Linked DNA regions of Stegostoma tigrinum. The protein of the gene in region 1 interacts with the protein of each later gene in a biochemical or structural test. Links are inferred from orthologs where the notes say so. Each region holds a gene or a part of one and is shown in the gene's direction. Other genes may lie near its edges.

Region 1 (7,580 bases):
CCTCCCTCTCCGGTCAGTGAGTGAAAAAGTAAAAAAAAATTTCTGAGCAGTTTGTTACTCTATCTCTATTTGTCACTCTGCAAATTATCTTCTTAGTGTCATAGAGAAGTGCAGCATGGATATAGACCGCTTGGTCCATGTTTGACCACCCCAACTTGGTCTGATTCAGAGATAACAAGAACTGCAGATGCCGGGTACAGAGACAACACATTGTGCACCTGGAGGAACACAGCAGGCCAGGCAGCATCAGAGGAGCAGGAAGGCTGACGTTTTGGTCAGGACTCTTCTTCAGACATGGGGGCGGGGGAGGGGGCTCTGAAATAAATAAAGATAGGAGGGGTGGGGCTGGGAAAGGTAGGTGGGATGGCGATAACTGAGTGCCCAGAGGGTTGCAGTGGGAGGGAGGTCCACTGAGATCTTTCCGGAGGGAGGAGGACAATTTCTTGAAGGTGGGCATTTCGAGAAGAGTGCCCATGTGCCCCTGACAATCACACTGTGCCCACGTATCCCTATCAATCACACTGCCCACGAGCCTCTGTCAATCACACCGTGCCCACGTGCCCTGTCAATCACACTGTGCCCACATGCCCCATCAATCACACTGTGCCCATGTGGCCCTGTCAATCGCACTGTGCCCACGTGCCCCGTCAATCACACTGTGCCCATGTGCCCCTGACAATCACACTGTGCCCATGTACCCCTGACAATCACACAGTGCCCACGTGCCCCTGTCAATCGCACTGTGCCCATGTGCCCCTGACAATCACACTGTGCCCATGTACCCCTGACAAACACACTATGCCCACGTGTCCCTGTCAATCACACTGTGCCCATGTGCCCCTGACAATCACACTGTGCCCATGTGTCCCTGTCAATCACACCGTGCCCATGTGTCACTGTCAATCACACCGTGCCCCCGTGCCCCTGTCAATCACACTGTGCCCACATGCCCCTGTCAATCACACTGTGCCCATGTGCCCCGTAAATCACACTGTGCCCACATGTCCCTGTCAATCACACTGTGCCCACATGTCCCTGTCAATCACACTGTGCCCATGTGTCACTGTCAATCACACCGTGCCCACGTGCCCCTGTCAATCACACTGTGCCCACGTGCCCCTGTCAATCACACTGTGCCCATGCGCCCCGTCAATCACACTGTGCCCACGTGTCCCTGTCAATCACCCTGTACCCACGTGCCCCTGTCAATCACACTGTGCCCATATGTCCCTGTCAATCACACTGTGCCCACGTGTCCCTGTCAATCACACTGTGCCCATGTGCCCCTGACAATCACACTGTGCCCACGTGTCCCTGTCAATCACACTGTGCCCACATCAATCATTATGTGCCCAAGTGTCTCTGTCAGTCATTATGTGCCCACGTGTCCCTGTCAATCACACTGTGCCCATGTGCCCCTGACAATCACCCTGTGCCCATAACAATCACACTGTGCCCTCGTGCCATGTCAATCACACAGTGCCCATGTGCCCTGCCAATCACACCGTGCCCACGTGCCCCTGAGAATCACACTGTACCCCCGTGCCCCTGTCAATCACACTGTGCCCACGTGCCACTGACAATCACACCGTGCCCACGTGTCCCTGTCAATCACAGCATGCCCACATGTCCCTGTCAATCACAGCATGCCCATGTGCCCCTGTCAATCACACTGTGCCCATGTGTCACTGTCAATCACACTGTGCCCATGTGCCCCTGTCAATCACACTGTGCCCATGTGCCCATAACAATCACACTGTGCCCATGTGTCCCTGTCAATCACACTGTGCCCATGTGCCCCTAACAATCACACTGTGCCCACGTGCCCCTGTCAATCACACTGTGCCCACGTGTCCCTGTCAATCACACTGTGGCCACGTCAATCATTATGTGCCCATGTATCTCTGTCAGTCATTATGTGCCCTGTCAATCACACTGTGCCCATGTGCCCATAACAATCACACTGTGCCCACGTGCCCCTGACAATCACACTGTGCCCCCATGCCCCGTCAATCACACTGTGCCCCGTGCCCTGTCAATCACACCGTGCCCCCGTGTCCCTGTCAATCACACTGCGCCCCCGTGCCCCTGTCAATCACACTGTGCCCACGTGCCCCTGAGAATCACACAGTGCCCACATGTCCCTGTCAATCACACTGTGCCCACGTGCCACTGTCAATCACACTGTGCCCATGTGCCCCTAACAATCACACTGTGCCCCCGTGTCCCTGTCAATCACACTGTGCCCACGTCAATCATTATGTGCCCATGTGTCTGTCAGTCATTATGTGCCCTGTCAATCACACTGTGCCCATGTGCTCCTGACAATCACCCTGTGCCCATAACAATCACACCATGCCCACGTGCCCCTGACAATCACCCTATGCCCACGTGCCCTGTCAATCACACAGTGCCCACGTGCCCCTGAGAATCACACTGTGCCCCCGTGCCCTGTCAATCACACTGTGCCCCCGTGTCCCTGTCAATCACACTGTGCCCACGTATCACTGTCAATCACCCTGTGCCCACATGCCCCTGTCAATCACCCTGTGCCCACATGTCCCTGTCAATCACACTGTGCCCACGTATCCCTGTCAATCACCCTGTGCCCCCATGCCCGTCAATCACACTGTGCCCACGTGCCCCTGTCAATCACACTGCACCCACGTGCCCCTGTCAATCACACTGTGCCCACGTGGCCCTGTCAATCACCCTGTGCCCCGTGCCCTGTCAATCACACTGTGCCCCCGTGTCCCTGTCAATCACACTGTGCCCACGTGCCCCTGTCAATCACACTGTGCCCCAGTCAATCACACTGTGCCCATGTGCCCTATCAATCACCCTGTGCCCACATGCTCCTGTCAATCACCCTGTGCCCACGTGGCCCTGTCAATCACCCTGTGCCCACATGCCCCTGTCAATCACCCTGTGCCCACGTGGCCCTGTCAATCACCCTGTGCCCCGTGCCCTGTTAATCACCCTGTGCCCACGTATCCCTGTCAATCACCCTGTGCCCCGTGCCCTGTCAATCACACTGTGCCCACATGCCCCTGTCAATCACACTGTGCCCCCGTGCCCTGTCAATCACACTGTGCCCACGTGCCCTGTCAATCACACTGTGCCCACATGCCCCTGTCAATCACACTGTGCCCACGTGTCCCTGAGAATCACACTGTGCCCCCGTGCCCCGTCAATCACACTGTGCCCACGTGCCCCTGTCAATCACACCGTGCCCCCGTGTCCCTGTCAATCACACTGCGCTCCCGTGTCCCTGTCAATCACACTGTGCCCACATGTCCCTGTCAATCACACTGTGCCCACGTGCCACTGTCAATCACACTGTGCCCATGTGCCCCTAACAATCACACTGTGCCCCCGTGTCCCTGTCAATCATACTGTGCCCACATGTCCCTGTCAATCACACTGTGCCCACGTGCCACTGTCAATCACACTGTGCCCATGTGCCCCTAACAATCACACTGTGCCCCCGTGTCCCTGTCAATGATACTGTGCCCACGTGTCCCTGTCAATCACACTGTGCCCACGTCAATCATTATGTGCCCATGTGTCTGTCAGTCATTATGTGCCCTGTCAATCACACTGTGCCCATGTGCTCCTGACAATCACCCTGTGCCCATAACAATCACACTGTGCCCACGTGCCCTGTCAATCACACTGTGCCCCCGTGTCCCTGTCAATCACACTGCACCCCTGTGCCCCTGTCAATCACCCTGTGCCCACGTGCCCCTGTCAATCACACTGTGCCCACGTGGCCCTGTCAATCACCCTGTGCCCCATGCCCTGTCAATCACACTGTGCCCCTGTGTCCCTGTCAATCACACTGTGCCCACGTGGCCCTGTCAATCACCCTGTGCCCTGTCAATCACCCTGTGCCCACGTGCCCCTGTCAATCACACTGTGCCCATGTGGCCCTGTCAATCACCCTGTGCCCCGTGCCCTGTCAATCACACTGTGCCCCCGTGCCCCTGTCAATCACCCTGTGCCCCGTGCCCTGTCAATCACACTGTGCCCTGTCAATCACCCTGTGCCCTGTCAATCACCCTGTGCCCACGTGCCCCTGTCAATCACACTGTGCCCCCGTGTCCCTGTCAATCACACTGTGCCCCCGTGCCCTGTCAATCACACTGTGCCCACATGCCCCTGTCAATCACCCCGTGCCCTGTCAATCACACTGTGCCCCCGTGTCCCTGTCAATCACACTGTGCCCCCGTGCCCTGTCAATCACACTGTGCCCACATGCCCCTGTCAATCACCCCGTGTCCCTGTCAATCACACTGTGCCCCCGTGTCCCTGTCAATCACACTGTGCCCCCGTGCCCTGTCAATCACACTGTGCCCACGTGTCCCTGTCAATCACACTGTGCCCACGTGGCCCTGTCAATCACCCTGTGCCCACGTGCCCCTGTCAATCACACTGTGCCCCCGTGCCCTGTCAATCACATTGTGCCCACGTACCCCTTCCCCCGTATCCCCGCCCCTCCCGTGTCAGTCCCGCCCCCGCAGGGCCCCGCCCCTTTCCCGCGCTCGCTGGGAGTGGGGTGCCCGCTGCTGCCTCCTGCAGGCGGGGCCGTGCAGCTGCTGCGTCGCCATGGCCGACGAGAAGCTCTTCAAGGCGGAGTATGCGAAGAGCGGGCGGGCGTCGTGCAAGAAATGCGGCGAAAGTATCGCCAAGGACTCGCTGCGGCTGGCCATCATGGTGCAGGTGAGCGATCGCTGGTCGGGACCGGCGAGAGTTTGGCCCCGGGCTGCTGACTGGCAGCGGGGATGTTCCCCCCGCCCCCCCCCCTTCAGCGTGCAGGCCTCGTGTTGTAGACCGGGGCGGCCGCAGGTTTTTTGTGGGCATGCATCCTGCTCCTTTTCAAAATGCATTATTTTTTATTCCGTTTCTGGTGATTCTGGGTTTTGTATCCGCCACCTCTTTGACCTTTCTGAGCTGCTGTGTTTTGCTGATGACTCACGCTGTAAGCCAGGCCTGCAACATTCATTGAAAATCATTGCAACTTCCATCCTCTTCAGAAGCCCCATTTTCAAAGTGACCCCCCCCCTCCCCCGTTGATTAAATATTAATTGCGAAAACCTCTTTTTTTTTCTTCCCCCAAATGCATTGCTAAAAATCCCAGTGATTATCTGCAGACGCATGCCCACCTTGTAGACTGAGCTCAGAGTGGTCGTCCTCTGGTGAAATCCTGCGTTTCGTTTTTTTTTATATATATATACACTTTTGAGACAGATTCTTTCACAGCAAAAGGCACGGTCAGAATCCGAGGGGAATTTTAAATCTTCAGAAATGCTGTTTGACCCACATAACTAACTGGATCAGCTGGGTCTTGTGGCTCAGACAATGCAAGTGGAAGGGGGGGTTGGGAATATTGCAGAGGACCACAAGCATGCTGTTGTAAGCCAAAAAAAACAGTGGAAGGTCTGAGAAGTGGAATCAAGACGTGCTCAGCAGGTCTGGAAGCATCTGTGGAGAGAGAAGCTACTCAGTTGGTGTGTGTGTGTGTGTGTGTGTGTGTGTGGTGTTTAACGTCACAGTTAAGTGTTTGATCAGAGCTAGGACACAAGAAGCAAGTTTTAAATGAGGGGCTGGGTGGAATGTCATGGGACGTAAGACAGGAAACACTAAGTGACCCATCTTTCAGTTGCTCAGAGCCGAAGAGGGTGATAATGGGACAGTAAAGAGAATCATGGACAGTTGTCTTCAGGAATCAAATCGAGTGGAGTGCGGAGCAAGGCTGATGCCTGGAAAGAAAACAGCGGGGAGAGAGAGACAGGATTTACATTCCAGGATTGTTGAAATCCATGTTGAATGTGGAAGACTGTAATGTGCCAATTTGCAGAGTGGAACATTGGCTGGCAGCAGGGCAGGGATGTCAGTTTGAGAGTAAGGTGGAGAACTAAAATAGCCACAGGAATCTCTGGGATAGTACGAACTGCTGATGCTGGAGTCTGAGATAACAAGGTGTGGAGCTGTATGAACACAGCAGGACAGGCAGCATCAGAGAAGCAGGAAAGCTGACGATTAGGGTGTGGAGAGAGAGATAATGGGAACTGCAGATGCTGGAGAATCTGAGATAACAGTGTGGAGCTGGATGAAAACAGCAGGCCAAGCTGCATCTTTTTCAGAAATGGGGGAGGGGGAGGGGACTCTGAAATAAATAGCGGGAGGAGGAAGTGATGATGGAAGGTGGATAGAGGAGCAGATAGGTGGAGAGGAGACAGACAGGTCAAGGAAGTGGGGATGGAGCCAGTGTACGTAAGGATTTGGGATGGGGGTTGGTCATTTGGGAGGGAGGGGCGGGCAGGTGGGAGGGAAACTCGGGCTCGCTCTCACAGACAAACAGTCTGTGAGAATGCAGTCTTTGCAGTGGAGGGGAGTATAACCAGGTCAGTGTGGGAGTTAGTGGTCTTACAATGAATGTTAGTCAGCAATCAGTCTCAGAAATAGAGACACAGGGGAAGGGAAGTGTTGAAGATGAACCATGTTGAAGTTGAGGGGGTGGTTTAGAAGTTGATGATATTTTCCAGTGCAGGGGTGTAAGCAGCAAACAGAGAACAATGCAGTCATTAACATGCGGATGAAGACTGGAGGGAGGAGGCTGGAGTGGTGAAACCAGAACAAGGAGAGCAGGAAGTCTCAGCAAAACCTATTGTTTGGAAGTAAGAATGAAGGCTGGCAAAATAATAGAAAGAATGTGATTCTAATTGGGTAGTGGGAGTCGGGTGCAGGAACACAGAGGCCAGGGGATACCTGCATGTGTTTACAGAACCTATAGGCAGTGGGATGAGCTGAAGAGCCCCTTTCTGTGCTGTGGATCTCTGTGACCCTTGAAAGTGGCATAGCAAGTTGAAAATGTGGCATTAAGAAGGCACGAGGGATTCTGTTGCAGACGCATTGTGTACAAAGTCAAGAAATGTGTGACGGGCCCTTCTGGAAGGTCGGTTTGACCTCGCTGCGAGTATAGTGTGCAGTTCTGGGCACCACACTTCAGGCAGAGCTGTTTGAGAGGATGCAGTAAAGATTCACGAGATGAGTTATGTCAATGGGTCAGAGAAAAGATCGACAGGGGGATTTGAGAGAGTTGGTAAAAATTGGGAACGAGTCTGAAATGAGTGAAAACCGAAAGAACTGCGGATTGGATTACCACCTTGAGTTCTTCTTGTACAGAATGCGTAGGCTGAATGGCCTCTTTCTGTGGTGTAACTGTTTTATATTGTGCTGAGAGGCATCAAAGTGGAACAGTGTCGGTCATTAAGGATATTGAGCCCCTTGTCATTGTGCATTCCTGCAGAGACAGCCTCCTGCCCCACGTAGGATGCAAACTTTTCTGAAACGAATGTTGAGTTTTTACTCTGCTGTTCACTCATGTTGCCACGTGTTTCCCACTGTGTGTGAGACAGAACATCCTTCAGGTCCTGATCCTCCCTCGCTAAACACATTGACAGTGTCAAGCCCCTTGAGAATCCAGTGTTGAGAGGATGTTTACCATCGTGGCAGAGTCTAAGCCCAGAGGGCACATTCTCAGAATAAAGGGGTGCCAATTTAAGATTGGGATGAGG
Region 2 (7,028 bases), on another chromosome or scaffold:
GTATTTTTTTCTGCTTTAATGATGCAGTAAACAGAATGCTGGTCCACAAAAAAATGTCTACATTAAATCAGATACCAATTATATTTTTTCTACAAACTTCAAATAAGTCACAACACCCTTATTATGTGCAGTTGATAATGTCTTTATCAACCAATCAGAACTTAATAGGCAAAAGAAGATGAATGGCACATTGTTTTTGTAATTTTAACTGTTGGCTTGTTCGTACTGCTAACACTTTAAGTAAAACCAGTACTGTCACAAAACTAGGCTTAGTTATGTGGCTTGTTTCTATGAAATGAGGATGTTATGAAGGAGAAAAGACTTGTTGTTATATAACAAGATGTAGAGCTGGATGAACGCAGCAGGCCAGGCAGCATCAGAGGAGCAGGAAAGCTGATCCAGAAGGGTCCAGACACAAAATACCAGCTTTCCTGCTGCTTTGATGCTGCCTGGCCTGCTGTGTTCATCCAGCTCGCTACCTTGTTATCTCGGACTCCAGCACTGGCAGTTCCTACTATCTCTTGTTGTTATATAATATCTGTTATAAACTCAGCAATTCCAAAATGCTTTACTTTACATTATGTAATGGTGCATAAGAACAGAAGTAAGTTCACACCTCATTGTGGCTATTCTGCTATTCAATTAGATCATGTTTGGTTGTACATTAACTTCATCTGCCCACCTTAGCTCCATAGGCCTAAAAGGCATACTGAAGCTGCTTGGGTCTCTGAGTATTAGAAACAGCTTCGTCAGGTTGTCAGAGCCCCAGCAGTAGTTGACATCTTCCATGTCACTCAAGTCTTGTTTATAAAGGCCTCAACTTTCTCAGCTTTGATCTGGTTGAGGCCAGTCAAACCTATAGGCCTGTCATTCATGCTTACCCCACAGGTTTTCCACAGACCCAGGATGACTTCTTTGTCAGATATTTTCTGGGCATTTGACACTGTGAGGGTCCCTGTCAAAGACTGCCCCAAGCCAGTGTCTGCAGGGGCAGGCTCTATCCTCTATGGGCAGGTGGCAGCCTTTGGGACAATGTTTGAGGCGGGGGAGGGGCACAAGTATTGAGAGCTGAAACAGTTTTTTGAAAAGCACGAGTTTCCATCAGTCTTTTCCCTTTCTTCCCTCTGAGGACCTGCCTGCATTTCCCTGCTGACCAAAAGCAGAAGAGCACAGTGTGAAGTTCAGCTGCCAAGATGGAAACTGGCAGCCAAATTTTGCAGGCCATTGAGGTGGATCAGCATGAACTTGATGGCCTAGTGAGAATGGCTACTCTTTCAGTGGAGGTGATGATTGGTGGGAATAGCTTGGACAACACAGACACAAAGCTAGAAGAGGACTCCTCACTCCTCTGTGTTCTGTGCAAGGGCATGGACTGTCTCTGGAAATGCTGACAGAAGCACATGCATTTTCCACCACGTTGCATGAGTTACATTAGTGCACATCCTCTGAGGCTCAATATTTGTATCCAGCTAAGCAGAGTTTGGATTCACCTACATCCTAGCACATTTACTGCTCACTATTTCTACTGCTGTACTTCTTATGCCATTCTATAACTCGTGTATCCTTCCAACTGGTTTGGAAATGACTCACAAGTGCCGTTGTGAGCCTTGGTGGCATCTCTTCAAATTGAGACCCCTCATTAGCTGGATCATCCTGTCCATCCTCCCAGATTGGACGGAGAACTTGGAGGAGGATGAGCAAAGATGCACAAATATTTTCATCAGGCTTCTAATACGAAGCTGCTTTGACCTGAACTGTAGCCTCCATTTTGAATGGCCTGAGATTTTTTTTTGAGATATTGAGAAACAACCTCGCATTGTTGTGGTGCTTTTTCCAACCTCAGGATATCTCAAAACGCTTGGCAGCCTTTGCAGTATTTTTAAAGTGTTGTTATTGTTGAAATGTAGAAACAGCCGGGACTCACAATCAGCACGATCATACAACAGGGATATTGAACAAGGGATGATTATTGATCAGGATAGAATCTAGAATTTTTATAGTGCAGAACACATTCAACTCTTTGTGTCTGCACTGGCTGTCTGAGCATTTTGGTTTAGTGCTAATTTTCTGCCCTTTCCCTGTCATCCTGCACAATGTTTGCATTTAAGTAATCACCTAGTACCTCCTAAATGCCTCAGCTGGACATATGTCCACCACACTTAAAACTAGTGCAAGTATTTCTTTTGCACAACCTTTTGAATCTGTCATTCTGGTCTTGATCTCCTTATAAGCAGGAATGGTTTCTCCTGATGTATTCTGCCCAGACCCCACATCATTTTGGAAACTTCTATCAGCTATCCTTTAAGCCTTCTGCTAGCTGAGTAAACATAGACCCACTCTCTCCAATCTATCCTCAAGGCTGAAATTTCTCATTCCTGGAATCATTCTCGTAATTGTTTCCATACTCTGTCCTCACTTGTCTCATTCCTGAAATGCAGTGCCCTGAACTACACCCAATACTCCATTTGATGTCTCACTCCAATCCTATATAAGTTCAATATAGCGGAAGAGTTATCCTGTTGCACTTAGAATAATGCCAAAGGATCTTTAATGTACACAGGAAAGGATAATGTATGCTTCAGTGTTTTATTCAAATTAAGGAATATAGAACTAAAGCAAGTGACTGGAATGAAGACACATTAATCATGACTGATTGTCACGGCTGCCTTTAGAATGCTGAATAAGCATGGAAAACAGGAGCAGAATTAGGCCTTTTGGACTTTTGAGCCTGCCCCCATTCAGTATTATCATGGCTGAACATCCAAATCAATATCCTGTTCCCACTTTTTCCTTTTTACACTTTGATCCCTTTAACCCTAAAACCTATTTTGGCCTCCTTCTTGGAAACATCTATATTATGGTCTCAACTGCCTTCTTTGCCAAAGAATTCCACAGGCTCATCACTGCGCAAGGCTGAATAGTCTGGGGTTATTTTCCCTGGAGTGTTGGAGGTAAACTTATAGAAGTTTACAAAATCATGTGGGACACGGATAGGCGAATAGCCAAGGTCTCTATCTGAGGGTAGGGGAGTCCAAAACTAGATGGCATAGATTTAAGGTGAGAGGGGAAAGGTTTGAAAAGGACCTGAGGGGCAACTTCTTCACACAGAGGGTGGTACATGTATGGAACAAACTTCCAGAGGTAGTGATAGAGCTGGTACAATTACAACATTTAAAAGGCATCTGGGTGGGTATATGAATAGGAAGGGTTTAGAGGAACATGAGTCAAATGCTGGCAAATGAGCCTAGATTAATTTAGGATATCTGGTTGGTGCAGACAAATTGGACCAAAGGGTCTGTTTCTGTCCTGTATGACTCCGTGACTCTGGGTGAAGAATGGCTTCATTTTATGCATTGTTTATTTCTCTGATCTCTTTATTCCATAACTTTTCAAACAAGTTACTCCTAAATCATTGATAACATTGAATTCTCACGAGAAACTAACCACAAAGGTCTTTGAGGATTGACAGGCTTGCATTGTAGATGCACCTAAAACAATATCAAGCCTGATCTGTGAGCACTAAATAGGGATTCAACTTTAATTGGATTGGCCCCGACAATGCAATCATTTTCCATGATGATTATGCTTCTAGAAGAGACAAACTCAGGTCTGACTTATTTTTCAATGCCCTATTTTATTTGCAGAATTCCAGAATGTCTGTGGGTTTTCATACGCATGGCATTGCTTATGTAGAATTAAAGAGAAATCCCAGGACAAGTTCTTTAACCAAAAATGATTCCATTATTCAAAACATCTGATGTCATTGAGCTATTTATGATTTTGGAAAGCTCAGTGTGCTGAGGTTAGTCTGGAACTGACATCATCTGCTTCTGGCCATTTCAAATGTATGTTTCCGCAGTTAAATTTGTCTTCTTTAAATCTGGTCACTCAATTGGCTGGCACAGTTTGAATTTGTTGTTGTATTGTATTGTTAGTTTACCTGGCTACACGTGTAGAGCAATTCAAATCCCTGTTGATCTAATCCTTCTTTCCCCTTGTACACAGGAATTGTGAGGCTTGCACTGTCGTTGTATTCTGCACCTCAGCTGAAGGACATGATTCAGACTGTCCCAGACTCAGTGGCTCATATTAAAGTAAGTCAGTAAGATACGTTTCTGTTAAGTTATTGCCTGTGAATGGGAGTTGAGAATGTGGGAGTTGTTATGGAGCCATTCTGGTGCTGATTAATTATTTACATGTGTATTTCTCAGTAAAGCCCTGCAAAATGTTGAAACATGCGACAATTGATATTTGCCAATCCGAAGCAATCTCCAGTGTCTTCTGTTGTCCGATTGCTTCCAGTTTACAAAGAGACAAAGGGCAAAAAAAGACTTGCATTTACGTAGCAACTTTCATATCTACAGGATGTTTCAAAATACTTGGCAACCAGTGAAGCAATTCTACAGTGTAGTCCCAACTTATGCTGTGAGCATAACTCATTTGCACACAGCAAACTCCACAAACAGAAATGTGATAATGACCAGATTATATGAATTTCATATTAACAAGAATAAATAATGACTGGTGCATCAGGATTAACTCCCTTGTTGTTCTTTGAAATATTGCCCTTGGATCTCTTATGTCTGCCTGAAAGGGAACTATGGTTAATATCAAATTCAAAAGGCAGCATCTCTGACCATGCAGCACTCCTACAGTACTGCTCTTGAGTACTAACCTCGATTATTGCGCCCAAGCGGAACTTGAGCTTGCATCTTTCTGATTCAGATATGAGCATTGCATCAACTAAGCCAAGGCCGAAACCTAACTAGAACCAAGAAGAGAGTCAGGGATTATAGTTATTTATGTGCTTGGCTGGATTAGTTGGTGGTTGCAGAAGTGAGACCCACACTAACTGTGAAAACTTTATTTTTAACCCTTAAGATCTACACACCTCAACTAACGTAACTTAGTTTGCTGTTAAAGTTGTGTTCGATAAACACCCCTACGTTGTGATGAGATACTATGAAGATTTCTGCTTCTGATCTCTGTCTACTCTCTCTGACTTTACTGGATAGTGTGTGTGCATGTGAGTTTGTCTATGTGAGTGTGTCTCTGCGTTTGGTCCTATAAGGTCTCTGTATGTACGTGTATGAGACTGATAGAATCAGATAGCTGAGGTGGTGTGTTCTATTGAGATTTACTGTATAGACTCCATAAACGAAGGAAGGCTGCTTGATGAAGCGTCAAAGGCTAAGCAACATACCCTCAGTGCTGTTTGATGATGCTTTAGTGAAGTAGCCTGGAGATGTTTTATTCTGTTAATGAAACTATATCAATGTAAAATGATGTTGCGGCTGAGCTGCTTAATCTTTTAAGACAGGAGGGAGGAAGTTGGGCAAATTAAATATGAAATAAAGAGTAGAGTTTTGCAGATAACATACTTACTGCCAAATCAAAATGGGCACTCAATAGTTTTAGTTTATGAGCAGGCTGTGGCCATTTCTGAGTTCAAGCAATTAAGAGTCTGTGACAAGTGATCGCAGCTACACAGAGGCAGAAACAAGAGATGAAGAGTTTCCACTGAGGTACAAAAAGAGTGAGAATCACTGCTGTTAATTGGCTCAATTTCGTAAGTGTAGCTTCAGATTGTAGTCTTAGGAAATGGGCTTTTATTGACAATCTTCATTAACCAAAGGCTTCCTTATCAAGGTGATAGAACATTTAAAACAAAAGGAACAGAAGTAGGTCATTCATCCCTAGAAGCTTGTTCCACCATTAATTAGATCCTCTTTCCATCTCTCCATCTATTTGCTTTAATTTTGTAGCCCTCAACATCATTGTTAGCATAACCATAATACACAAGAAAGTATGAGCATTCAGTTATGGACCCAGACCAAAAAAGATTGTAGCAGTTCAAGAAGACAGCTCACCAAAACCTTCCCAAGTCAAGCCACAGTCGGGCAATAAATGTTGGCCAGCCAGTGACTCCCAAATTCCAGCAACAAATAAAATGGACGGTGAGCAATGTTTGGGATGTAAAATGCTGCTGCTTCTTGGTACAAGTTATGAAAGAGGATCAAAACACGAGCAATTTTCCAGCAAGAGAAACTTATTTCTATTTAACGCCAGACATGTACTAAAATCTGGCAACATTGCTAATCCTTCAGCGAAGGCACTGTCCTAGGTTCACGAAGGATGCACAACATAACTTCTATCACTGGTATGCAACCCTCCCCTAAAGAGATTAAAAATGATATACAATCATCCCTTCCAACCCCACCATTTAAATTATAACTAAATATAATGGGCAAAGGAGTGACTCATAGACAACTTCAATGCTGTTTGTATAACCTCTGGAACATTGCTGAAACTAAACCCCTTAAATTAGAATTTGGCCTGGTAATCTTGGAGATTATTACTGCACCTCCCGTGTACAAACCTCAGTTCTACAATAACATGGTTATATTTCAGAGAAAGTCCAATCTTCCTCTACACCTCTGTGGGAAAGGCACCTTAATATTGGATCCAACATTTTTGCCATCTTTCAGCTGCTCAATTTTTCTATAGAGTGCAGCTTCATTAACATATGGAAATGCTGGCCGCTTCCTAACCCATCTCTGTTAAAACTGGGTGGATGTGTTCCAGGCAGATTGAAGGATTCAGAATTTTGGAATTAGCCCGTCGAGTTCCCATGAAAGAGTGACAGGGAAATGTAATAAGAATGGGCTAAGCATTCATGTGATAGTACTTGGCATTTGTAGACTATTAAGGAATTTTGTGTTCCATGCAGAGCAGTCAGCATGGCTAATTCTTTTCACATACAACTTATTGCTTTTGCATCATTTTATAAATTTATGTGATTCATGGCGAGTTGAATCCTTGTGAATCATAAAATTATTATTGTAGGCAGGTTAAACAGAGCAGGTCACCAGGAAAAGGAAGGTCCTTTAATTAATTAGAAAGCAACCGAACATCAGGTAAAGCTGTTAGATCCTAAGAACAGTTGTTATGTGAGGTAACAGGATATGCACAAGTTATGTTAGTTCCTGTCTTTTGAGGCAGGGCAGGAGCATGAGTTTAGAGATTGA

Evidence for each region. The genes of interacting proteins can lie anywhere in the genome.
Region 2: the proteins of parp1 (region 1) and erg form a complex in vitro, tested with the Homo sapiens proteins (2 studies listed by BioGRID and IntAct). The link is inferred for Stegostoma tigrinum from reciprocal best matches to the Homo sapiens genes PARP1 and ERG.

Annotation. Positions count from the first base shown.
Region 1 is NC_081357.1:10,326,867-10,334,446, forward strand, and holds the start of parp1 (poly [ADP-ribose] polymerase 1), read left to right. Parts: upstream 1-4,576; 5' UTR 4,577-4,608; coding exon 4,609-4,722; intron 4,723-7,580. UniProt on the Homo sapiens protein: Poly-ADP-ribosyltransferase that mediates poly-ADP-ribosylation of proteins and plays a key role in DNA repair.
Region 2 is NC_081365.1:18,302,994-18,310,021, reverse strand, and holds the start of erg (transcriptional regulator ERG), read left to right. Parts: upstream 1-4,005; 5' UTR 4,006-4,055; coding exon of another isoform or gene 4,056-4,094; intron 4,095-7,028. UniProt on the Homo sapiens protein: Transcriptional regulator. May participate in transcriptional regulation through the recruitment of SETDB1 histone methyltransferase and subsequent modification of local chromatin structure.